3 linked regions of the Elephas maximus indicus genome follow. The protein of the gene in region 2 binds, or shares a complex with, the protein of the main gene of each other region. Links are inferred from orthologs where the notes say so. Each region holds a gene or a part of one and is shown on either strand. Other genes may lie near its edges. The genes, in order: USP12, WDR48 and USP46.

Evidence for each region.
Region 1: the proteins of WDR48 (region 2) and USP12 are in contact, whole or in part, in a crystal structure (PDB 5K1C), measured with the Homo sapiens proteins. The link is inferred for Elephas maximus indicus from reciprocal best matches to the Homo sapiens genes WDR48 and USP12. Residues at the interface, in NP_065890.1 of Homo sapiens: Arg50, Trp77, Asp118, Tyr119, Lys121, Leu137, Ser170, Tyr172, Thr188, Asp211, Asn212, Lys214, Ser230, Gly254, Trp256, Arg272, Ile363, Ile364, Leu424, Lys425; in NP_872294.2 of Homo sapiens: Arg185, Leu187, Thr188, Cys189, Glu190, Thr191, Ser227, Lys230, Cys236, Arg237, Ser238, Lys239, Gln240, Glu241, His243.
Region 3: the proteins of WDR48 (region 2) and USP46 are in contact, whole or in part, in a crystal structure (PDB 6JLQ), measured with the Homo sapiens proteins. The link is inferred for Elephas maximus indicus from reciprocal best matches to the Homo sapiens genes WDR48 and USP46. Residues at the interface, in NP_065890.1 of Homo sapiens: Arg50, Trp77, Asp118, Tyr119, Lys121, Leu137, Arg139, Ser170, Tyr172, Thr188, Asp211, Asn212, Lys214, Ser230, Gly254, Trp256, Arg272, Ile364, Leu424, Lys425, Gly521; in NP_073743.2 of Homo sapiens: Arg181, Leu183, Asn184, Cys185, Glu186, Thr187, Cys222, Ser223, Glu224, Lys226, Cys232, Cys233, Ser234, Lys235, Gln236, Glu237, Gln239.

The regions. Positions count from the first base shown.
Region 1 is NC_064841.1:59,199,171-59,206,660, forward strand, and holds the start of USP12 (ubiquitin carboxyl-terminal hydrolase 12), read right to left. Parts: upstream 3,018-7,490; 5' UTR 2,832-3,017; coding exon 2,784-2,831; intron 1-2,783. UniProt on the Homo sapiens protein: Deubiquitinating enzyme that plays various roles in the regulation of the immune response and inflammation.
Region 2 is NC_064845.1:1,148,729-1,155,902, forward strand, and holds the start of WDR48 (WD repeat-containing protein 48), read right to left. Parts: upstream 3,044-7,174; 5' UTR 2,999-3,043; coding exon of another isoform or gene 2,951-2,998; intron 1-2,950. UniProt on the Homo sapiens protein: Regulator of deubiquitinating complexes, which acts as a strong activator of USP1, USP12 and USP46. Enhances the USP1-mediated deubiquitination of FANCD2; USP1 being almost inactive by itself.
Region 3 is NC_064823.1:109,099,983-109,107,042, reverse strand, and holds the start of USP46 (ubiquitin carboxyl-terminal hydrolase 46), read right to left. Parts: upstream 3,022-7,060; 5' UTR 2,919-3,021; coding exon 2,883-2,918; intron 1-2,882. UniProt on the Homo sapiens protein: Deubiquitinating enzyme that plays a role in behavior, possibly by regulating GABA action. May act by mediating the deubiquitination of GAD1/GAD67.

The sequences.
Region 1 (7,490 bases), on a different chromosome or scaffold from region 2:
CTACTTTTTAATACTACTTTTGAAACTACATTTGGCCAGGCACTGCCATTTCTATATCTGCCAATACACACACACCACACGTGCAACCAATGCACCTGGGTGGGAGCCCCAGAAGGAGCTTTACTCTCTGTGCCACCCTGGCAAATCTCTCTGTGCCCTCCTGCCCTAATCTGATTACAGCACACACTTAGCAAGATGTTTATTTAAATGCTGTCTGCCTCCCTCAACTAGAATATAAACACCAGGAAAGAAGGATTTGCCTTGATCATTGCTGTACTGCTGTATCCTCAACACTCACCAAAGCCTCTTGCACTCCAGCCATTGCTGTCGTGTCAATTCTGACTCATAGCAACCTGTCACAGGACAGAGCAGAGCTGCCCCCCATGGGCTTTCCAAGACTGTAATCTTTATGGAAGCAGACTGCCACATCTTTCTCTTGCAGAGCAGCTGGGGGGTTCAAACCGCAAACCTTTCAGTTAGCAGCCTAGCACTTAACCACTGTGCCACCAGGACTTCTTTTCTTGCACTTAACCAAAACCCATTTCCGAATCATAGATGCTAAATATATACCTGAGTAGGTGAATGAAAGAATGATTAGTAAAGACTAACATATCACTCAAGTTCCGGAAACACTAGACTCTGACAATGAACTATGACCTGACCATGTGTGCAGCTCAGCAATTTGGCAAGCTTCTCTCTTTAAAACACTTCATTATCACAGTCCTTTTGCAACAGAAAAAGATAATTAGCATATCTAGAAATAATTGGTCCAAACAATCCTCTAAAACCATGTCGGTACAGTCCCTTTAATACTAATGCTCTTCTAAAATGTACACTGTTAGAAAGAACAAATATCCAACTGGGGAAATGGATCCTTCGATGATTCATTCTTCCCTGTCACGTGCTGCTTAGTATCAACAATATATTCTGTGAAATACGCTAGGGGTTTCGGACGTTGTGCAAACATGCCTAACTCTCAAGAAATAGCATTTGATGATTTTCCACCTTGGTGTTGTTTAACAACCTTTTGTCTCACTTCCAAATCGACAGTCCTCCTTTGCCTCTTGCTGCTATCACCAGCATTGCTTTTGCTGCATTTGGGAGCCATGATGCACTTCCTGATAATGTTTTCAAAACTAAAGAGAGATAACCCTACAACACTCAGGGGACGCGCGATACAGGAGACTGGAAGCTGCTGCCTACCATTCGAAGTGTGCACTATTACACAGTAAACTTTCTATTTGTAAGCAGGGAAAGTTCACGTTAAAATAACAATAAAAACTATAGTACAGTACACACATAGGCCAGTAGCATGGGTGTTTATTGTGACTATCAAGACACATGTAGCACAGGTTATATATGTTCTGTACCGTTATACATCTGGCAGCACAGTTGCCTTGACTCCAAGAGGCATGAGATACACATGTTGCCAGTGGGAAGCTGTCCCGTCTGCTATGCACGGTTCTCCAAACTCGGGATTTCTGAACTCAATTATAACCTTACAGGGCACGAATGTATATGAGGTCAGATGCTACCCAAATACACATTATGATTTCAGTCATTTTTTTTAATACTGTTTCTCAGCGTGCAGTGTAGACTGCTTTTAAAGCACCTCTCCTATGTGATTCTCCACTCTTTAAAGATATATAAAATTAACCACCTCAGATACAAAGTGGCCTGGGGATCTCTAAGCACAATCAGATGCATACAAATGGCTAGTGAGACGTGAAACAGAAGGAAAGGCCCACGTTGCAATGAATAACTTTTGGGGGGAATGACTCATAACTATGATCCCTAGACGTCAGTTCCTAGGGAGCTAACCAAGCAAATTCTGTGCCATTTTGCACACCACTTGTAGTCCTTTCGGCCAAGCACAGAAACACCAAGTTTTAAACACAACCACATTCTGCTTCATTCTGGACTTTCAACGGGCATTAACACCCTTCCCTTTCAATCCACCTAAAAGCCCTGAGAAAACAATCGCAACAACCCTTGCAGCCCTTCTCTGCACAGAAACACTTCAAGTCACACACAGATGTTTGGTGTATTAAAGTAAACAAATGACAGGAAAGGAAATGCTGCTCTTCAAGATTCGTGTGGATTCCCAGAGACAAGACTGCCACCTGGACACATGGCTGGGAACGGGAGAGCTCATTCCTCGGAAAGAGTAGAAAATGGAAAAAACGTCAACGGCACTTAGTTAAAGTTTCCACCTTCCTACACACCCCCTTTCCCCCGAACGTGGCTCGGAGGACGCCCCCTTCCGCGGCGCGCGGAGAAAATCTGCACTTGACTTCCGTCCTCTCCCCGGGCAGGAGTAAGACCCTTCCTGCCCGCCCGCCTGCCTGCCTGCCTGCCGGGGACCCCCCGCCCCCGACACACACACGGGGACACACACACACACACACGGGGACACACACACACACGGGGACACACACACACGGGGACACCACCCCGCACGGCGCCCGGCCAGCCTAAAATGGGGCCGCGCGCTCGGCGCCCCTCGCACCGGCCCAGCCCGCGCCGCACGGCCGCAGCGCCCAGCCCGCGCCCCCCTGCCCTCGCCCCGCGCCCGCCCCGCGGGAAGCAGCCCGGAGCCCGCCCACTCGCCACGTCCGGCGCTAATCGCCCCGCGGCCGCCGCAGCCCTAATCGGCCGCCCGCAGCCGCGCTCGCCGCGCCGGCGCCGCCTCCCCTCCCCCGCGCCCGGGCCAACCGCCCGCCCGGCCGGCCGCGAGGAGCGCGCTAGGCCCCGCAGCCGCCGCCGCCGCCCGCCGCACCTACCATGGTACAGATGGAGGCGAATTTGGAGACTGTCATTAGGATTTCCATCCGCCCAGCGCCATCTTCCACCCAATCACAGCGGCGGCGGGCGGGGGAGGGAGCCGGGCGCCCGCTCTCGCCGCAGCCCCGGGCGGACCCCGAGCCGCGCGGCCTGACGGACCGAGCCTGTGCTGCCGCTGCCGCCGCCGGCGCTCAGGCACTCCCGGCCTCGGGCTCCGGCCCCCGCCGCCGGCCGCCCGCCCGCCCCCGGCTCCTCCCCGGCGCAGGGCGCAGCCGCTGCTTCGGGGCCCGCGCCTGCCCGCGAAGCCGCCGCCCCCGCCGCGCACCCCGCCCAGCCCTCCCGGGAGCGGCTCCGCCGAGGCCCTAGTGCCCGGCTGCTCCGCTGCGCGGCCCCCGCGGCGCCGCGCTCTCCCCGCCCACTGCCCGCCTGCCCCCGCCCCCACCCCGCAGAGCGAGTGAGCGAGCGGCGAAGTCCGGCCCGGCCCCACCCCGCGCCTGGGCTGGGCGGGGTCTGGGCCTCGCCGCACTCCGCCCCGCCTCCCCGCGGTCCTAGAGACCGGCGCCGGCCGCGCGAGGCGCGGGTCCTGGGGTAAGCCCTGCAGGGGGAGGACCGCGGCCCGTCCCGGCCCCCGAAACCGAAGAGCAGGGCGCTTATCTGGGTGACTCAGAGTGGGAAGAGGGGAAACCCGCTTCTGTAAGGATAGCCCGGGTGATGAACCCTCCAGAGCACTTTCCAAAATGTAAGGGTTGTTTTTTTTTTTTAAAACATATATTGGGTATTTACCTGGGTCAAACCAAAAAAAACCCGAACGCGTTGCCTCAGCCCATAACTCAGAGAAAGACAAAAATGAAAGTGGCAAAGGAGAAATTATGTCTAGCTCTTTGAACTAAAAGATAAAGGGGAGGAAGGGAGGGCCTGCCTTCCTGGCTCCCGTTAGCCTTGAATTTAGATATGTTTATAAATACAGTATCTAAATATATTTGTTCTAGACAACAGGAACTGCAAAAAAAGAAAGATCTCAACCCAGCAGCGAGAATGATGCAGTAAGGCCAGCAAGTGAGAAAAATGTCCTGTGAGGGTGGGATATTTCCTCTTTTCTATTTTTACAAAATTCATACTTGCACCCTGCTTTTCATGTCAGGCAGCTCAGCTTTACTTCTTCCTATTTCAGAAAGCAGTTCAAATGAGTAGAATAACTTTATTATATTAGGAAGCTGGTGGTGTTTTTCGGTTGGCAAACTAGAGTGCTGGGGTGCTTTCCTGGGGGATTCCCCCTTTTCAGTGGGGCAGAGGGACTGAATTTAGACAAAGCTCTAAAATCAGGTATTCCTTACATCACAGGTTAAAAGTATTCAAAAAGCAAATAAAGCAGCCAAACAACATTTAGTTGAAAAAGATACATTTGCTACACAAATGCAGTTTCCATAGGGATTTCCGTTATAAGCTTGTTTGGGGGAATATTTTTCGGTTTGAATATAGCCAAGTCCCATAGTAACCAGCCTGGTTCTCCAGGTGCCTGCCTCCATGGAAGCTGGGGCCCTTCCTCTTTGCTGACACCCAAGCCAGAGCTTAGGTAGGGCTCTGTTCCAGAGGGGTACCTAAGGCATGGCAGGTAGGGTGCATGACTGGGCATCGCTTGAGGAGAGGCGCTAATGAGCAGTTTCCATAGCCCACTGCAGTTTCCATCGCCAGCCGTGAGAGATCATTCACCAATTTAAAACTAATTGCCATAGTCTCTATTTTCCTGCTAGCCTCCTGACAACCCATCTGAATTCTTCACTGTGTTCCACCCCGTTTGTACAAGGACTAAAAACTCCTTAAATCCCAGGGGCTTGCGTGGGCCCCTTTGACGTTGCCATGCCTCTGGAGCCTGTTCGTCTTGCCCATCTTAATAAATGCCCATGGCATCCTATCCTTTCTACTTTGTGTTCTCTTCCAGGAAAAAGAAACTTACTGTCGACTTGACTCCGACTCATGGCAAACCCATGTGTGTTGAATAGAACCGCATGCCACAGGATTTTTTTGTTTTGTTTTTATTGTGTTTTAAATGAAAGTTTACAGTTCAGTTAGTTTCTCATACAAAAATTTATACACACGTTGTTACGTGACCCTGGTTGCTCTCCCTATAATGTGACAGCACACTCCTCCTTTCCAACCTGTATTTCCTGTGTCCATTCTCCACAGGGTTTTTAATGGCCAATTTTTTCAAACCAGACCAGCGGGCCTTTTTTCCAAGGTGTCTCTAAACCTGCTGCTGCGAAGTTGATTCCGACTCAGAGTGACCCTGTAGAACAGAGCAGAACTGCCCCATAGGGTTTCCAAGGCTATAATATTTACAAAAGCAGACTGCCACATCTTTGTCCCGTGGAGCAGCTGGTAGGTTCCAACCACCAACTTTTTGCTTAGCAACCAAGCGCTTAACCACTTTGCACCAAAGCTCCTATAAGGTGCCTCTGGGTGGGTTCAAACCACCAGCTTTTCAGGTTAGCAGCTAAGCACGTTAACGGTTTTAACCATGTGTACCACCCAGGGACTCCTTCTGTTCCAGGGAGCAGATCTAATGTGCCAGAGGCTTAGCCACGCCTCCATCTATGCTGCCCACCCACGTGCTTAGTTGCCTGTAAATCCTAAAATGTGACAAGAATGGAGGCCTCCTTGGTCCAACTTTATACATAAGTTTATATGAAAACAGGCCTTTTTTAAATTGACTTCTGATAGAATCATCTGGAGGCATGCCTAGTAGGTGTTACATCCATCTAAATGTGCAAGTGATGTCATAGACCCTGACTGCAGAACCTCACAATGACCTGTCTCCTAGCCTAAGGTTGAGTGGAGAGGCACAAACGGAGAGATCCTACTATTTGCCAGGTGCTGTACAGGGTGGTTTTCACTATCTATAATGCAGTTGAGGATAAGATTTGGCTGAAACTCCACACTTGGCACACACCGTTGTTGTTGGGTGCCATTGGGTCGATTTCGACTCATACCAACTTCATGTGACAGAGTAGAACTGCCCCATAGGGTTTTCTAGGTTGTGATCTATACTATCCATAAGGTTTCCACTGGCTAATTTTTTTTTCAGAAGTTAAATCGCCAGATCCTTCTTCCTAGTCTGTCTTAGTCTAGAAGCTCCAATGAAACCTGTCCACCATGGGTGCACCTGCTGGTATTTGAAATACCGGTGGCATAGCTTCCAGCATCCAAGCAACACACAAGCCACCACTATACAACACACTGACTGATGGTGGTGGACCCTCAACAAGATGAATTGACACAATGGCAGCAACAATGGGCTTGAACGCAGCAATGAAATGATTGTGAGGATGGCAGGACCAGGCATCGTTTTACTCTGTTGTACATAGGGTCGCTATGTGTCGAAACCCACTCAACGGCACCTCACATCGATGGCACCTAACAACAACAACAATCTATATGGAAGCACATCACGAGGCCTTTCTCCTGCAGAGCCACTGGGTGGGTTCAAACCACCAACCTTTTGGTTAGCAGCCAAGTGTTAACCATCTGCGCAATCAGGACACTTAATCTGGGCCTAGAACTCAGGGTTTTTTGTGTTTTTTTTTTTTTTAGATTTGGCAATTTCGTTTTTTAATTTTATTATGCTTTAGGGCTAAGAAGCATGTTCCTCAGGCATGTTGTTTGTTTTATAAAAAAAAAAAAAAAAATTTTTTTTTTGTTTTTGTTTTATAGACCTGTCTAATCCTAGGCTGAAAGGTGGACTTCAGGAGTGGCTTCAGTTCTGAGTTAACGGGGTGTCCAGGGGCCATATTCTCGGGGTGTCCACCAGGCTCTGTCAGTCTGGTCTGGCATATTTTTGTGAATTTGGATTTTGTTCTACATTTGTCTCCTGCTCTGTCCAGAACCCTCTATTGTGATACCTGTCAGAGCAGTTGGTGGAACACAGTTTTTACGGGCAACTGTATCAACTTTACAAAGAGCCCCCTTTTGCCTAAGGCGGATGTGTGTGACTGACCAGCAAGCCTGCCAGAATGTGTAAACTATAAAATATGCCAAAGCCTTCAGGGACCCAGCACGTGAACAGACTAGGGCTAAGCTTAATCTGGGTGGTCAGCACAGTGTATTTAACAAGTTTTTGTTTGAAATACCTTTACAAAATCATGCACTTCCCAGTTCCTCACAAACTCCTTATTTTCCTTTACTCGTCTTGTCTCCAGCTTGCCACGGGCTACTTCATACATTTCTGCCACCTCTCCTTTTACCTGTGATGATGGTGGGAAGGGGGGTACAAGGGGGATGTGAAACATCCATAAAAGAGCCCTAGTGGCACAACAGTTAAGCACTAGGCTGCTTAGGTCTACAATTCGAACCCACCGGCAGCTCAGTGGGAAAAAGGCCTGGCAATCTGCTTCTGTAAAGATTACAGTCTAGGAAACCCTGTGGAGCAGTTCTACTCTGTCACATGGGGTCACCAGGAGTCGGAATTGACTCTACAGCACCTGTCAAGAACAGAAGGCATCCCTAATGAGTTGGCACTTATTGAGACCTTATCTGTGCCACTAAGCACTTTATGTGTATTAACTCCTGACTCCTCAAATAACCCAAGGAAGTAGATACTATTATTATCCCCATGTTATAGATGAGAAAACCAAGGCACAGAGAGAATATTTCCAAGCTTGCAAATTTAGCAAGTGATGGGACTAGGATTCAAACCCAGCTGCAGAGGCTAT
Region 2 (7,174 bases):
ATCCCATATTTTAAACAAACAAACCCAAACAACCAAATCGGCTGCCACTGAGACGATTCCAGGTGTTTTAGGGCGGAATCACTTTCTGTAGGATTTTCAGTGGCTGTGACCTTTCAGAAGTAGACCACCAGGACATTCTTCCAAGGTGCCCCGGGGGGGTTCTAACTGCCAACCTTCCTTAGTAGCCCAGTACTAAACCTTCTGCACCACACAGAGACTCCGTTTCCTGTCCTACCCGTAATCACACAATCCAATCCCCCAGTGGTAACTGACAGTCAGTATCCTTCCAGGCTTTTAAAATGCAGTATTTCCTTTGTGGAAATGGGTTCGTACTATACTGACTTGCTTTTTTGACTTCTGGGCACCTTTCCTTCTTAATAGGTACATACCTAGCTTATCTCTTCAACAGCTGTGTCTTGACATGTTACCATAATCTGTCAATTCTCCACTGATGGACACTTAAATTTTTTTCACTTTCTCACACTGATAAGATTCCTACAATAAACACCCTTGCACAAGTAGAGAAAGGTATACACACATGTATCTCTGCAGAAGAGGTTTTCAGAAGAGAAATTACTGGGCAATGGTAACGTACATTTATAACTCTGACGCAGAATAGCAGGCACGATGGCTCCATTTATAGTGAAAAATCCTGTATGTCAGGTACACAAAGAGGTAAAGAACAGTGATTCTCAATCAGGGTAATTTGGACTGCCAGGGGACATCTGAAAATGTCTGGAGACATTTTTGGTTGTCCCAAGTGTGGGGGTGCTACTAGCATTGCGCAGAGGCCAAGGATGATGGTAAATATCCTACAACGTACAGGACAGTTTCCCACTACAAAAAAGGATCCGGCCCAAGATGTCAGTAATACTCATGCTGAGAAATCCTAGTTTAGAATCATATATCGCATTACTCATGGTAGCTTTCTTTGAGTGGAGGGCAGCTATCGTTTATACCTTTTTTATTATTTGTAGGTTTCTTGCAATGCACGTGCACTAGTTTTAAAAACACTTCTCAGAACAAACAAAAATTCTCTCTCAGGTAGAGATAAAATATCAATCTCTGTGGCTTCTCACACTGCTTTTATACATTGTGGACAAGCTCTGAAAGCAGCTGACAAGGCCCCCGAATCTTCTCTTCTGCAGGCTAATCTTAGTTTCAAGTCAGTTCACCAATCTGGTTACTATACTTATTGAGAACAAGGTGCTCAATTCTCAGCCCCAAACGCTAGGTCTGTACTCTGACAAGCAGTCTGGAACTATCACCTCCCTCATTCTACCTGTGTGGGCTCACACTGGGATTAAAACAGTTTTCCACCTGTACGGCAGTTAACTTAAGTCTTTCACATCTTGACTTTCACAGTTGCCTCCTACATCTAAACGAAGGGCACTAAGAGGCCTCTTTAACAACCCTTACTCCCCTATGGAGTGTACCATTCCAGTATCTGGAAGAGCACCACCATCTATTGGTTCCTCCAGTCGTCAAGCCTTTCTCTCCATTCCAAACCCAAACCAAACCCAGTGCCATCGAGTCGATTCCGACTCATAGCGACCCTATAGGACAAAGTAGAATTGCCCCATAGAGTTTCCAAGGAGTGCCTGGCAGATTTGAATTGCCAGCCCTTTGGTTAGCAGCCATAGCACTTAACCACTACGCCACCAGGGTTTCCTTCTCTTGATTAGTGTTGCCTAAATACTTAACCACCTAGATTCCCTGGGAAAAATCATCTGGTCAATTACATACCACGACTTCAGGCTGTCCAGTTGCAACACAATTAAGTTACAATTCTGGGTTACATTTTAGTTGGGAGGAGACAGTGTCACCACCTACGATCACCTTACACCGTGATTTCAGGGGATTTAGATTCTTAGTAATTTCACTCAATTCAACAAATATCCAATGAGTACTTTAGACACCGTCCTGATCAAAGAGATCAATAAAACAAAGAGTGGAACTGCCTCAGAAAACTTTATGCCTCACACCCTTTTCCTGGGGTTACCTTACTGCAGGCACCTTTTGTCCTGACTATTAAACACCCACTGATTTCAACCTGCAGAACGACATATCATGGTGGGTTTTGTCAAGAAAGCCTGGGTCTTACTCCTACATTTTCTCAAACCTTTGCATACTTCTGAATTCAAATTAAGTGCTGGACAAATAGTTAACGTACCATGTCGCCACTACTGCATACACTATACCTGCAGGCAAACACCTGAAATAGGTCTTCTATTATTCCCTGCATTGCTGGAAAAAATAGCAAGAACTCTTACGCTTACCCAAAATAAAAACGAATTCACGAAGGCATAAAGCATACGCAGAATGATTAGATAATTCTTTCACCTTGGATAATAAATCATAAAAATAGAAAAGAAAGATTCAGGGATGTACGATGAAGATGAAGAAACGCTGAAAACGAAATTAAACCGGCATTTCCCCACCAACACCCGGCCGGCCGCTGCCCCTCACTGGGAAGCGAGCTCCGGCAGCAGAGGTGGCGGGGCTCCCCGTGCGGACCCCACCGCGGAAGCCGGGGTCGTCGGCGCCCCGCCGCCCGTCACGCCCCGCCGGGTCCCCGCGCTCGCCGCCCGCCCGCCCACCGGGAAGCCCCGCAGGCCTCGGCCAGAGCGCCTCGGGGAAGGCAGGGCAGGGGAGGCGGCTGGCCAGGGGACGCGCCCACCGCCTCGCGGGCCCGATCCTCCGGGAGAAGGGGCGACCGGCCGCCCCGGGTTCCAGGGCGCGCGCCCCGGGGGCCCCGAGTCTGCGTCCGCGCCGCCCCCGCCCCTTCCTCAAGCCGTTAGCGCCGCGGCCCCACCTCTCACCGCCGCTCGCCCGGGCCCGCGCGCCCCGCCCCGCTCCCCGCCGGCCGCGGCCTGAGGCATCTGCTGGCGGGAGGCGGCCCCGGGCCGGGCAGTCGGGTCCGAGAGGCCGAGGACCCGGGCTCCCATACCTGCACTTTCCGCCGCCCGGCCGTGTTCTGCCGGTGATGGGCCGCCATCTTGCATGTTGACACTCCGACGTCACTTCCGGAAATGGCGCGGGCCGAGCGGATGTCCTGCCCCTTCCCCTCGGGCGGGGGTTGGTGGCGGCGGCTGTGCGTGCGGCGGCGGCGGCCGTGCGTGCGGCGGCGGCTGTGCGTGAGGCGGCGGCGGAAGGGCGCGCGGCGGCGGCGGCCGTGCGTGCGGCGGCGGCGGCCGTGCGTGCGGCGGCGGCGGCCGTGCGTGCGGCGGCGGCGGCCGTGCGTGCGGCGGCGGCGGCCGTGCGTGCGGCGGCGGCGGCCGTGCGTGCGGCGGCGGCGGCCGTGCGTGCGGCGGCGGCGGCCGTGCGTGCGGCGGCGGCGGCCGTGCGTGCGGCGGCGGCGGCGGCGGCGGCCGTGCGTGAGGCGGCGGCGGCCGTGCGTGAGGCGGCGGCGGCGGCTCCGCGCCGTGGCCGGGCTCGGGGCGCGCGGCGGTCTCGTGGAAGCAGAGCCTTCCTGTGGGCACAGCGCCGGCGGAGGACCACCCGCTTCTCCGAGCCGAGGCAGCAAGCGCATTCCGCCGTGGGGCCCCACACCCCGGCTTGCACGCTCCCTGGGGCGGTCCTCGGGCAGAGCGCTGAGGCCAGGTAGGGGGCGAGACTCCTCGGCAGCCAGGGAGCCGACTGCTTGGCCGCGAAGGAGGCACCTAGACGTTCGCAGAACAACGACCTGGCCTGGGAGGAGAGAAGCGGCCGCCCTTGGGAAGGAGGCAGGCCGGTCTTCAGGCGAACAGGCGTCCCGTCCCACAAAGGAGAGAAAAGGCGCCCCAGGGACGTCTGCAGAGCCCGAGGGAGCCGGGGCCGGCTCTGGAACCTCGTCCCGGTCACCTCTTCTGGGTCAAAGTGTAGCTTCAGGTCTTCCGGACACCGATGACAGGTGCCGAGGGTGGCGGAGCTCTCTCTCGGAAAGTGGACCCCGTGGAACTGCTCCGTCCACTGAGTTCCGTGCGGGCTCCGCCAGGCGCGTGTGGCCAGCTCACTGAGACGTGATGTAACTCAAGTACACACTCAATTTTGAAGACAATGCAAAAGAAGAATGTGAAATACCTCTTTCATAATTTTTTATATTGATCACGTGTTGAAATATTAATTTCTATATATTGGGTTAAATAGCATGTGTTACTAAAATTTTTTACATTTGTAAATGTGACTATTGGGTCGCTATGAGTCGGAATTGACTGAATGGCGGTGTTTTTTTTTTAATTTTTTGACTAGAGTGTTTAAAATAACACGTGGCTCATGTTATATTTTTGTTGCAGAACCTGTTGCCATTGAGTCTGTTCTCATAGTGGCTCTATAGACAGGGTAGAACTGCCCTATGAGGTTTCCAAGGCTGTAATATTGGACTAAGTGACCCCATCAGGCAGCATGTCTTAATGTTTACTTTGCCTGGAAGGCGAGACGGCCTTCATGGTCAGTTCAGGTTCAGAGGCTAAATTGGCCAGTTGTTCAAGAACAGGGTAGAAGTGCCCATAGGGTTTTTAAGGCTGTAGTCTTTATGGTCCCTGGAGCTGCTGGTGGCTTTGAACTGCTGACTTTTCAGTAAACAGTCAAATGCTTAATCACTGTGCCACCAGGACTTCTTCTCTATTGCATAGTGCTAATGTATAAATAATGCTTAGGGAACCTCCTGGCAAATGCCTTTTTAAAAAATCGGTAAAGAAATCTGAATTAGAGGAGCAGAAACTGATGACAGAAAGCCTGTTAGGCAAAATTGGCGGTGATAACTTGTAGATAAATTACATGGACTGCATTTTATTACAGACTCATTGATTCATTTATCCATGTATACATTCAAAACATTTATTAGCATCTATTAAGTGCCCAGCCCTGTATTTGGTGCTGGGGGTTCAGTGGTGAGTGCACATTAGCCATAGGACTTAGAGTTCCATGGTGAGACAGGGATTAATTAAACAAACGTATAAATGAATGTGGAGATAAGTACTGAAGAAAGAGCTGTACAGCAGGAAGGGATCCTTGAGCCAGGATCTAAAGGCTGTAGTTCACTAGACAAGGAGAGGGAACAGTCTGAGCAAAGATCTTGTGGCAGAAGGGAGCATGGAACATTTCAAGAACTAAAGGCCAAGTCTTGGAGTACAGAGAGCAACCAAGGGGAAAAAACAAAAACACCCAAACCCTTACTACTTGGAGTTGATTCAAACTTACAGTGACCCCATGTGTGTCAGAGTAGAACTGCTCTCGGTAGGGTTTTCAATGGCTGTAATTTTATGGAGTAGATTGCCAGGCCTTCACTCTGTGGTTGCTGGGCAGATCAAAGAGGAGCACAGAGACCACACCCAGCAGGGTCTTCTAAGCCAATGGGAAGCTGTTGAAAGGACTTAAGAGGGGAGGGACATGATCTGCATTTTTTTTTCTTAATAAAAATGTATTGAGTAGCCATGATATGCCAGGCACTGTGCAGGTACATTACTCTCCACAACGTGCTGGTACCTGTTGGAAATGGATTCCTGTGTTGTTGTAGCCCCCCCGCCCCGCCCCTTGGGGCTGGCCCTGAAGAACACTGAAGTTGTAAAATTGTTTTAATGGGCAGAATGTCCAGGAGTGTATCTTGATGTTCACTTTGCCTGGAAGGAGAGATGGCCTTGGGTAGTAATTCACAGTCAATTCATGGACAGAGGCTAAATCATTTGGCCAGCTGTTCAAGGACACGGAAGAACAAGCATGACAAACTGGTGACAAGGAAGACTTGGGAAAGTATATGGTAACTGGCCTCTTAGAATGAACCTTAAGAGCTGTACAGATGAAACAAACTGCTCTGAGGATGAAACTTGGCTTCCTTCAGGATCAGTGCTTACTCAGTGGAATCATGAACAAAATGGCGATGCTATCAGGACTGAAAGCTATGCATGGGATCATCAAGCCATTGCTGAGTGTTCAAGTTGCCAACAGCAGTGACCAGTCCCGAGTTGCTGGTTTACCCCATAGCCTTGAAGGGTGAGCCAGCCACTCGGGGGGCAAGTTGATTCCATTGGCCCTCCCTCATCATTGAGGAAGTAGCTATCTGTCCTCTCCAGGTGACACTTAACTCTAGATTTTTCCATTGGCCCTCTATCATTGTTGAGGAAGTAGCTATCTGTCCGCTCTGAGTGACGCTTACGCTAGATTTTGATTTCCTTCCCATGCTCCCTGTACTTCTAGCAGCACCTGAAATACATCTACTTAACACTGAGATGTGCTGTAACTGTAAAATACTCCTGAATGTTGAAGACTTAGTATAAAAATAAGAATGTAACATGTCGATAATCTTTATATTGATTACATGTTAAAATGACAACATTTTCTATTTATTGGGCTCTGTATCGCCATCTGGGTGTTTACTAAATGATTTATACACTGTCATAATATCTGATATATTGCATCTGACCGAGAAATTCACTCTACGGTGAAAGAAGTAATGCAATGGACTCTTGCCCATGCGATTCTTTGGTCTGATTATGTGCTCTATCACCCACGTGTCTGTCAGTTTGTCATACTGTGGGGGCTTGTGTGTTGCTGTGACACTGGAAGTTATGCCCCTGGTATTCAGATACTAGCAGGGTCACTCGTGGAGGACAGGTTTCAGCTGAGCTTCCAGCTTAAGACACTACGAAGAAGGACCTGGCAGTCTACTTCTGAAAACCATTAGCCAGTGAAAACCTTATGAATAGCAGCAGAACATTGTCTGATACAGTGCTGGAAGATGAGCCCCCCAGGTTGGAAGGCACTCAAAAGATGACTGGGGAAGAGCTGCCTCCTCAAAGTAGAGTCAGCCTTAATGACGTGGATGGAATAAAGCTTTCGGGACCTTCATATGCTGATGTGGCAAGACTCAAAATGAGAAGAAACAGCTGCAAACATTCATTAATAATCAGAACCTGGAATGTACGAAGTATGAATCTAGGAAAATTGGAAATTGTCAAAAATGAAATGGAATGCATAAACATCGATACCCTAGGCGTTAGTGAGCTGAAATGGACTGGTATTGGCCATTTTGAATCGGACAATCACATAGTCTACTATGCTGGGGATGACAACTCGAACAGGAATAGTGTTGCATTCATCGTCAAAAAGAGCGTTTCAAAATCTATCCTGAAGTACAACGCTGTCAGTGATAGGATAATATCTGTACGCCTACAAGGAAGACCAGTTAATATGACTA
Region 3 (7,060 bases), on a different chromosome or scaffold from region 2:
GAAGAGTTAAACTGGGAGGACCCCATAAAAGACCTACCTGGAAACAATTCATCAAGTGAAAATTTTAAAGGAGTCCAATGAATATTTCCATCTGATCAGGTAGAAAGACAACAGTCTTTCCATCTGATCAGGTAGAAAGACAGCAGTCTCCTCATCACCAAGCCTTCCTCTCTGGGAAGTGAGACTGAGAGGGGCAGGGGTGGCCTGAGCAGCCTCATAAGGAGCAGGGTTAGGGCTTCCCACCCCAGCCCTTTGTTTACACTGCCACTCAGCTTGGTTTGCATAAATGAAAACATGGGTTGTTTATACTAGTAGCTCCACTCTCCCTTAGAAAATTGGAAGGTGAGACAACAATGAGGAAGATGACATTGACAATAACAGCAAACTGCAGAAATGAGTTGCTGAGGTACAGGGCCTAGTACACTGCAAGTCTTTGCTGTTACTGTCAATTTTATACTCACATATAAAACAGTAACCATGATCAACCCCATTTTACAGATAAGGAAACTAAGAGAATAACCTGTTCAAGGACACAAAGCTGGCGTAAGTAGAACCAGAGCATGAACCAAGGAAAGCTGACTCCAGGGCCCAAACTCTTCGTCACGTGCTCAAAACAGTGGCTAAATTAGAACGTAAAAACTCCCTTCTTATGAATTACTGGTTCCACACTTTACCTGGGTGATGATGCTAACTTTGGCACCTTTTGAGGTCTCCACGTTACGCGGCAACTCTCCAGCGGACAAATGTTGGGCCTATGGTAGTACTGGCCTACTCCTCTTGTGTCCTCCCTGGCTGAGGCTTTGAGCCTCGAGTTTTATTGGAAACGGGTTGTGACATTCTGCCCAGATGTGCCAAGAAGACCCAGCTGCACTGAGGACAAAAAAAAAACAAAACTGGAGGGTGGCTTCCTTTTGGGGCATGCTAGCTTTCAAGTTTCCATCCTGCTTCAGGGCAGAGAAGAGTCACCACACCACTGCGCTGGGACGGTGCCTGCCTACCCTGTAGGCCTGAGGCCACCCCAACAGTCGCATGAGAGCATGTACAAGCCGCTCTGGTTTCACAGTTCCCTTCAGGATCGTAGCAGAGAAAAATCCCTAAGAAAGACATCACCTTTTCACTATACCAAGCAACATTAATGCTGCTCAACAGGAAGGACCAGGACCCGTCTCCGCATGGAGAAGGAAGGGAGAGAAAGCGAAAAGACTCTGAAAGCCACCCACCACATCTACTCTCCCTGTGCCAGCACCTTGGCAGCTATCACTTGGATAAGACTCAGTATTTGCTCTGCTGGCCACGATAGTGGCCACGACCAACAAGGCTGAAAATTGAAGCCAGCATCAGTGGGTCTCAATTCCATCCCTGAGCTAACACATGCTTCTCTAAGGCTCCCATGCCATGTGTTGATCTTGCAACAGAATGTGAAACAGAAGACTTAAAAGCTGTGTGATGGGGGAAGGGCAGCCAGATCACCTTACCCCCAAGGCTCCTCAGGCAAGCTCCTCCGATTCTCTTTAGGGGCCTGTACTACTAGCTTCAAGGGAGTTTCTCCCAAAAGTGGAGTTAAAACAGCATGTGTCTTAGGGGACACTGAGCTTCTGTTAAGGATGATGGAAAATTTGGGGCACGGTTAATGCTGATGGTTGGCCTACATGAATGTATTTCATGCCACTGAACTGGACACATGAAGACTGTTGAAATGGAAAATGTTGTCTATATATTTACCACAATTAGAAAAAAAAAAAAAGCACATGTCCCAGGTGGGGGAGGAGGGGGGCCGACGTCAGGGTTAGGGGAGAGCCTTGAGGGTGAAGGCAAAGCACACACCCCGCACCCTGCACAGGAGGGCAATGCCTCACTCCAAGGGTCAAGCAGCACTCCCAAAGGCTCTGACAAGTGGTGCCAGCAAAATGCACCCTTGGGACCCAAAGGCGGGATGATGTTCTTGCAGAAACTGAAAGGAAGGGAAACCGATGGGAGAAACACAAAGCGACCACTTCGTTATGGACCTGAACCCATCAGAGCCCCAAGTGATGTCCCTTTGCTTTGCTGAGTCCACGCCCACCAGGCACCACTGGGTCTACACTGGAGCAGGCAGGAGGACCCTGCAGACCTCCTTCTCCACACCCACAGCCACCCCCACCCTGAGGGCGTCCAACCTTCTTTCACTCATGGAGAAACTGAGGCAGCCAGAACAAATCACCAAGCTTTCCCAAATCAGGTTGAAGTTCACTTCCCTAACCACAATTTTGCACTTTTTTACAGCTTTATTACACTGCAAATTTCTCCGGATAAACTGATTGCCGCTGCAAAGCGAATTTTAAATACAGTCTAACGCCGGAACTCAAAATGAGAGGAGGGCGGCCAGGAAGCCCAGCAGGAATTTAATGCAAAGACAGGATGGGTGCCCTCCACCCCAACCCCTGCTTATCCCCCAACCCTCTCCCGCGGGACGTCCGGGTTCCTCCTCCCCACCCCGCCAACCCGTTTCCACCGCAACCCGAGGGCTGGGGCCCGGCAGCGCCGGCTGGCTCCGGGGTCCCAGGTCTGAGAATGCGGCAGGGGGCTCCGGCCGCTGCTGGGGCCGCTCCTGGGGCCGCTCCTGGGGCCGCTCCTGGGGCCGCTCCTGGGGCCGCTCCTGGGGCCGCTCCTGGGGCCGCTCCTGGGGCCGCTCCTGGGGCCGCTCCTGGGGCCGCTCCTGGGGCCGCGGCCGACCCGCCCAGCCCCGGGGCCGGGAACTTCTCTCCGAAGCTCAACAGACCGGACCCACCGCCCTCGCCCCCCACTCCACCGCCCCCCGCCGCCGGACGCGTGTGCAGCTCGGGTTTCCCTTTCTTCGCCTCCCCCGCGCCTCGGGCGCGACCCCCGAGGCTGTGGCCACTCACCATATTACAGATGGAGGCGATGTTTCGGACAGTCATTAGTCTAAAGGTTGCAGCGATCCCGCACCGCCATCTTTATAAGGTGAAAACAGGACTGTCCATGGTGGAGCGCTCGCAGGAGGGCGGCGAGGCGGCGGCAGAAGGCGGCCTGGGGTCCGGCTCTCAGTTTGGCTGGGAGAGGGAGGCCGGGAGGGGGAGGAGGCGGCGGGAGGCGGCGGGGGCGGGGAGGAGAGCGCAGGGGGAAGGCGGGGAGTGGCGGAGCGAGGGAGCCTGGGCCGTGGCCGGCGGCGCCGAGAGGAGGGGCGGCCCGAGCGTGCCCGCCGCGTGGAGTCTGCTGGCCGCTCCGAGCGCCCCGGCCGCGCGCCCGGCCCGGCGTCTCCCGCCTCCTCTGCCCGCGCGCCCGGCCGCCGAGGTTCGGTGTCTTCCTTTTTATTTCCTGCTTCGCTATTTGGGCTGTAATGCGGGCCCGGGCCCTGGCTCGCGCGGCTGCAGGAGCTGCGCCTCGGGTCCCCCGGGCCCACCCCGACGCAGCAGCGCTTCCTCGGTCCTCTGGGTCGTGGCGGAGGCGGCGGACCATCAGCTGGGACCTGCGCCGCTGCTGGGAGAGAAGGGGCAGCGCCAGGCGTTGGGCGCAGGAGGGAGAGGCGGGCGCCCTGAGCCCAGGCTGGCAGGCTAGGGGGCCGTTTTCCGTCGTCACTTTTCCTTGCCTTTCCTCCCGACCCCCAACAGCCCCGCATTTTTATTTTTGACGAGTGGAGAAGGCGAGGGGTAGGGGTGCTACGTCCAACTTCCCGTTCTTCTCCCGCGTTCTAGCCGAATGGCACCGGCGGGTGCCCAAGAAGTAAAATGGGGTCAGGACATGGGAGTGGTCAGAAAGCCTTGGCCAGCCACGGGCCGGCTGCCTGGGAAAGGGCGCCGAAAAGGGAGAGGAATCTGGGGCTGGGCGGAGGCCAGAAACGGCGCGGCTCAGGCAATTTGTGACATTAGCAGGTACAAAGGAGAAGTCCCAGTTCTGATCATGGGCTGGGAACTGTCAAAACAGCTACTTGAGTCCGGAAAGAATAAGAACAAGATTTTTCCGTATCTTCAAGGAAAACATACCCCCCCTCAGGTGCACCCAACTTCTCTGGATTTTTAGAAAGGAGCCATATGGACTTTTACACGTTTCCTGCCATAAAAGGTCATGGTTTCCAGCTCAAAGCGCCAATCTGTACATCACTTAGCAAATATAGTCATAAGAATTGGAGAAGCACATTTCCAAATGTGTGAAACAATTCTACATACAAGGTTGCAATTCAGTGCCTTCAAAAGGGAAGTTGTAGAAGTGAAATGGGTGATAAATTCTTAAACCCATATACTTAATGACAAATCGAATTAGAAGAGAAATTAATATAATTGAAAATAACCTTTACCTAACCAAGGATAACATACTGAGAAAATATCACCCTATCCTATGTTAGCCATTTAGCATTATCCACATAAGATTTGAGAGCCACAAGCTATGAGTCGGAATCGACTCGACGGCACTGGGTTAGCTCCTAATATAGCAAGAACCTGGGATAGAAATAACTCAACGTGTGGGGAGGGGGAGCCAGGGGGGTATCATTATGGGCCCTATACTTTTGAATGAATTGAAGAAATAACATTTTCTGCTTATTTTAAGTCATTCTGCCTTAACGACTCAATGATAACGATGAAGATAACTTGATTTCTTACCATTATCAATCACCCGTGTTTTATATTCATGGTCTTCAGTCGGCACAATAACTATCAGGTAGTAGACATTATTATCTCCTTTTTGCAGATGAGTAAAATAAGGCTTGAGGGTCAAGTATTCTGTCCAGATCATGTCCCCAGTGAAGCTGGTGTGCTACCCTGGCTGATTACATTGGGGGAGGAGGGGAAGACAGCAAGACCCAAACTATGGCCATGCAGGTAACTGAGGCCAGAAAGGTTTAAAATTTTGAGGAATGTCACAAAACAACTTCAAAACCAAGGTGTTCAACATGGACTAACATCAAGACCAAAAACTCAGGCAGTGAATTACATACACAACAAATCAATTGAACACAGCGTATCTTGTCAGACTCATGAATAATTAAATACATTTTACACTACTACAAGGTTCATATTCACAGTTCTAAATTGGAAGAGGCTTGAGTTGAAAAAGAATAATCACAACCTCAGCTTCACCCAGTGAAGAAATGTTACTTGGAGGTAGTAAGATCTTGAAAAGGTTGACAAATTAATGGAAGAGCTTGGAAGGAAAGTGTTCCACATATAGGGACAAAAAACCCATTGCTGTCGAGTTGATTCCAACTCACAGCGACCCTATAAGACAGAGTACAACTGCCCACATAATCTTTATGAAAGCAGACTGCCATATCTTTCTCCTGCAGAGCAGCTGGTGGGTCCAAAGTGGCAGCCTTTCAGTTAGCAGTCAAGCACTTACCTACTGTGCCACCAGGGCTCCTCTACAGGGAGCAGCTGATATGAAGATATAGAGTGTTAGAACTCGGAAAAGTAGACAAAAGGAAGGATGGGCTATAAGCTGGCACTAAACAGAATAAAGGAGTTTGAGGAGAGAAGACACTCTAACTAGTGTGATTTAGCCCCTTGCTATACCTGGGAGCTTCTTAGAAGCACAGGCTCTCAGGTACCATCGCAGTCCTAATAAATTCTACTGTGTGGTAAGGAAGTTGAAGCAAGTGAGCAGAAAGTGTGAGATGCATGACTCCAGCCAACCAATCACTTTTGGTGGAATTCTGTTTTTGCCAGCCTGCCATCCATTCTGCAGTAACAGCTCCCAAATTCTACTTTGGGGAGCTTTCTCGCCTTTCAGACACTAAGGTTCAGGTGCAGCAGTCCATGAGAGACAAGGGTGAGACCCAGGTTTTTAACTTGAAGAGTAATCCCATGTTTTCAGCTAGTGAACGCTGAAGGAGGAGATTCAGGTGTAGTTGGTTGGGGAGAAGCTCACTCTATTCAGATGAGTTGAGTTTGAGATAACCACGAATTATTTGAATAGTTCTAATAGAAGCCCTTGACTTTACAAGTCTGGGGCTCAGGAGAAAAGTCTAAGTTGGAGATAAGTATCTGAGAATAACTAATATATAGAAGATGATGGAGGATAGGAGATTATAGATGAAATTGCCTAGACAGAGAGCACAGAGTGAAAATAGACAAGGGACTATGATAAGATCATGAAGACCTCCACCATGCAAGGATCAGGTGGAGGAAGATGAGCCAAAGAAAATTAAGCCCAAGCCTCCGAAGTGGTTGAAGAAAAGCAAACAAACATGCAACAACACCAAAGTCGAAGAGTATTTCAAGATGGAGCAAGTGGCCAAAATGTATCGAATGCAGCTAAGAGATCAAAGAAGACAATTAATAGTAGTAATGTTTACTTCTTGAATAGAGCTCTAACATGCATTAATACATTTAATACTTGCAATAACCCTATGAAAGAGGTAATATTATAATCCCCATTTTAAAGAAAACTGAAACTTAGAGAGTAACCCACCAAGACTCATGTAAGCATTCTTTCATCAAAGCCTATTACTAAAAGAGTCCTTTCAGTTCTATAATGGGCAGTTTGGGTAGAATGGTTAGGATAGAATATATATTGGAATGGGTTGATAAGTGAAAGGGAAGTAAGAAAACATGTTTGGCTTTGAAGGGAAGGAGAGAAGAAGTAGCAGACAATTGAATAGCTCAAAAATACCTTCAGTGATTGACTCTCTGCCTGGTTTGCAAGCACCTCCCTAATCTGCTCTGCCCCCCCGCCCCCCGCACCCTCTCTGACTCCTAACCAAACAAACACACCACATTCCATGCTTCCAGCCTGCAGGCACACAACTGCCCAGTCCTCAGCCAGTTCTTCTATTTCACATACACTCGGTCCTCAAAGCTCAACTCCAGCCTCACTTCCACAGAAGTCTTCTTAATCTCATCTTCCTTGGTAAATTTGAATCAAGAATCATTTTTTACATATTTTTGAGAAACCTAAAATACCTAACATAATGCTAGGCACCTGCATAGGAGATACTTAGCAGGTAATTATCTTACCTGAAACATTTTACTGAACTGACCAGCACCATTTTATTCACCAGGAGCCCTGGTGGTGCAGTGGTTAAGAGTTCAGCTGCTAACCAAAAGGTTGGTAGTTCAAATCTACCAGC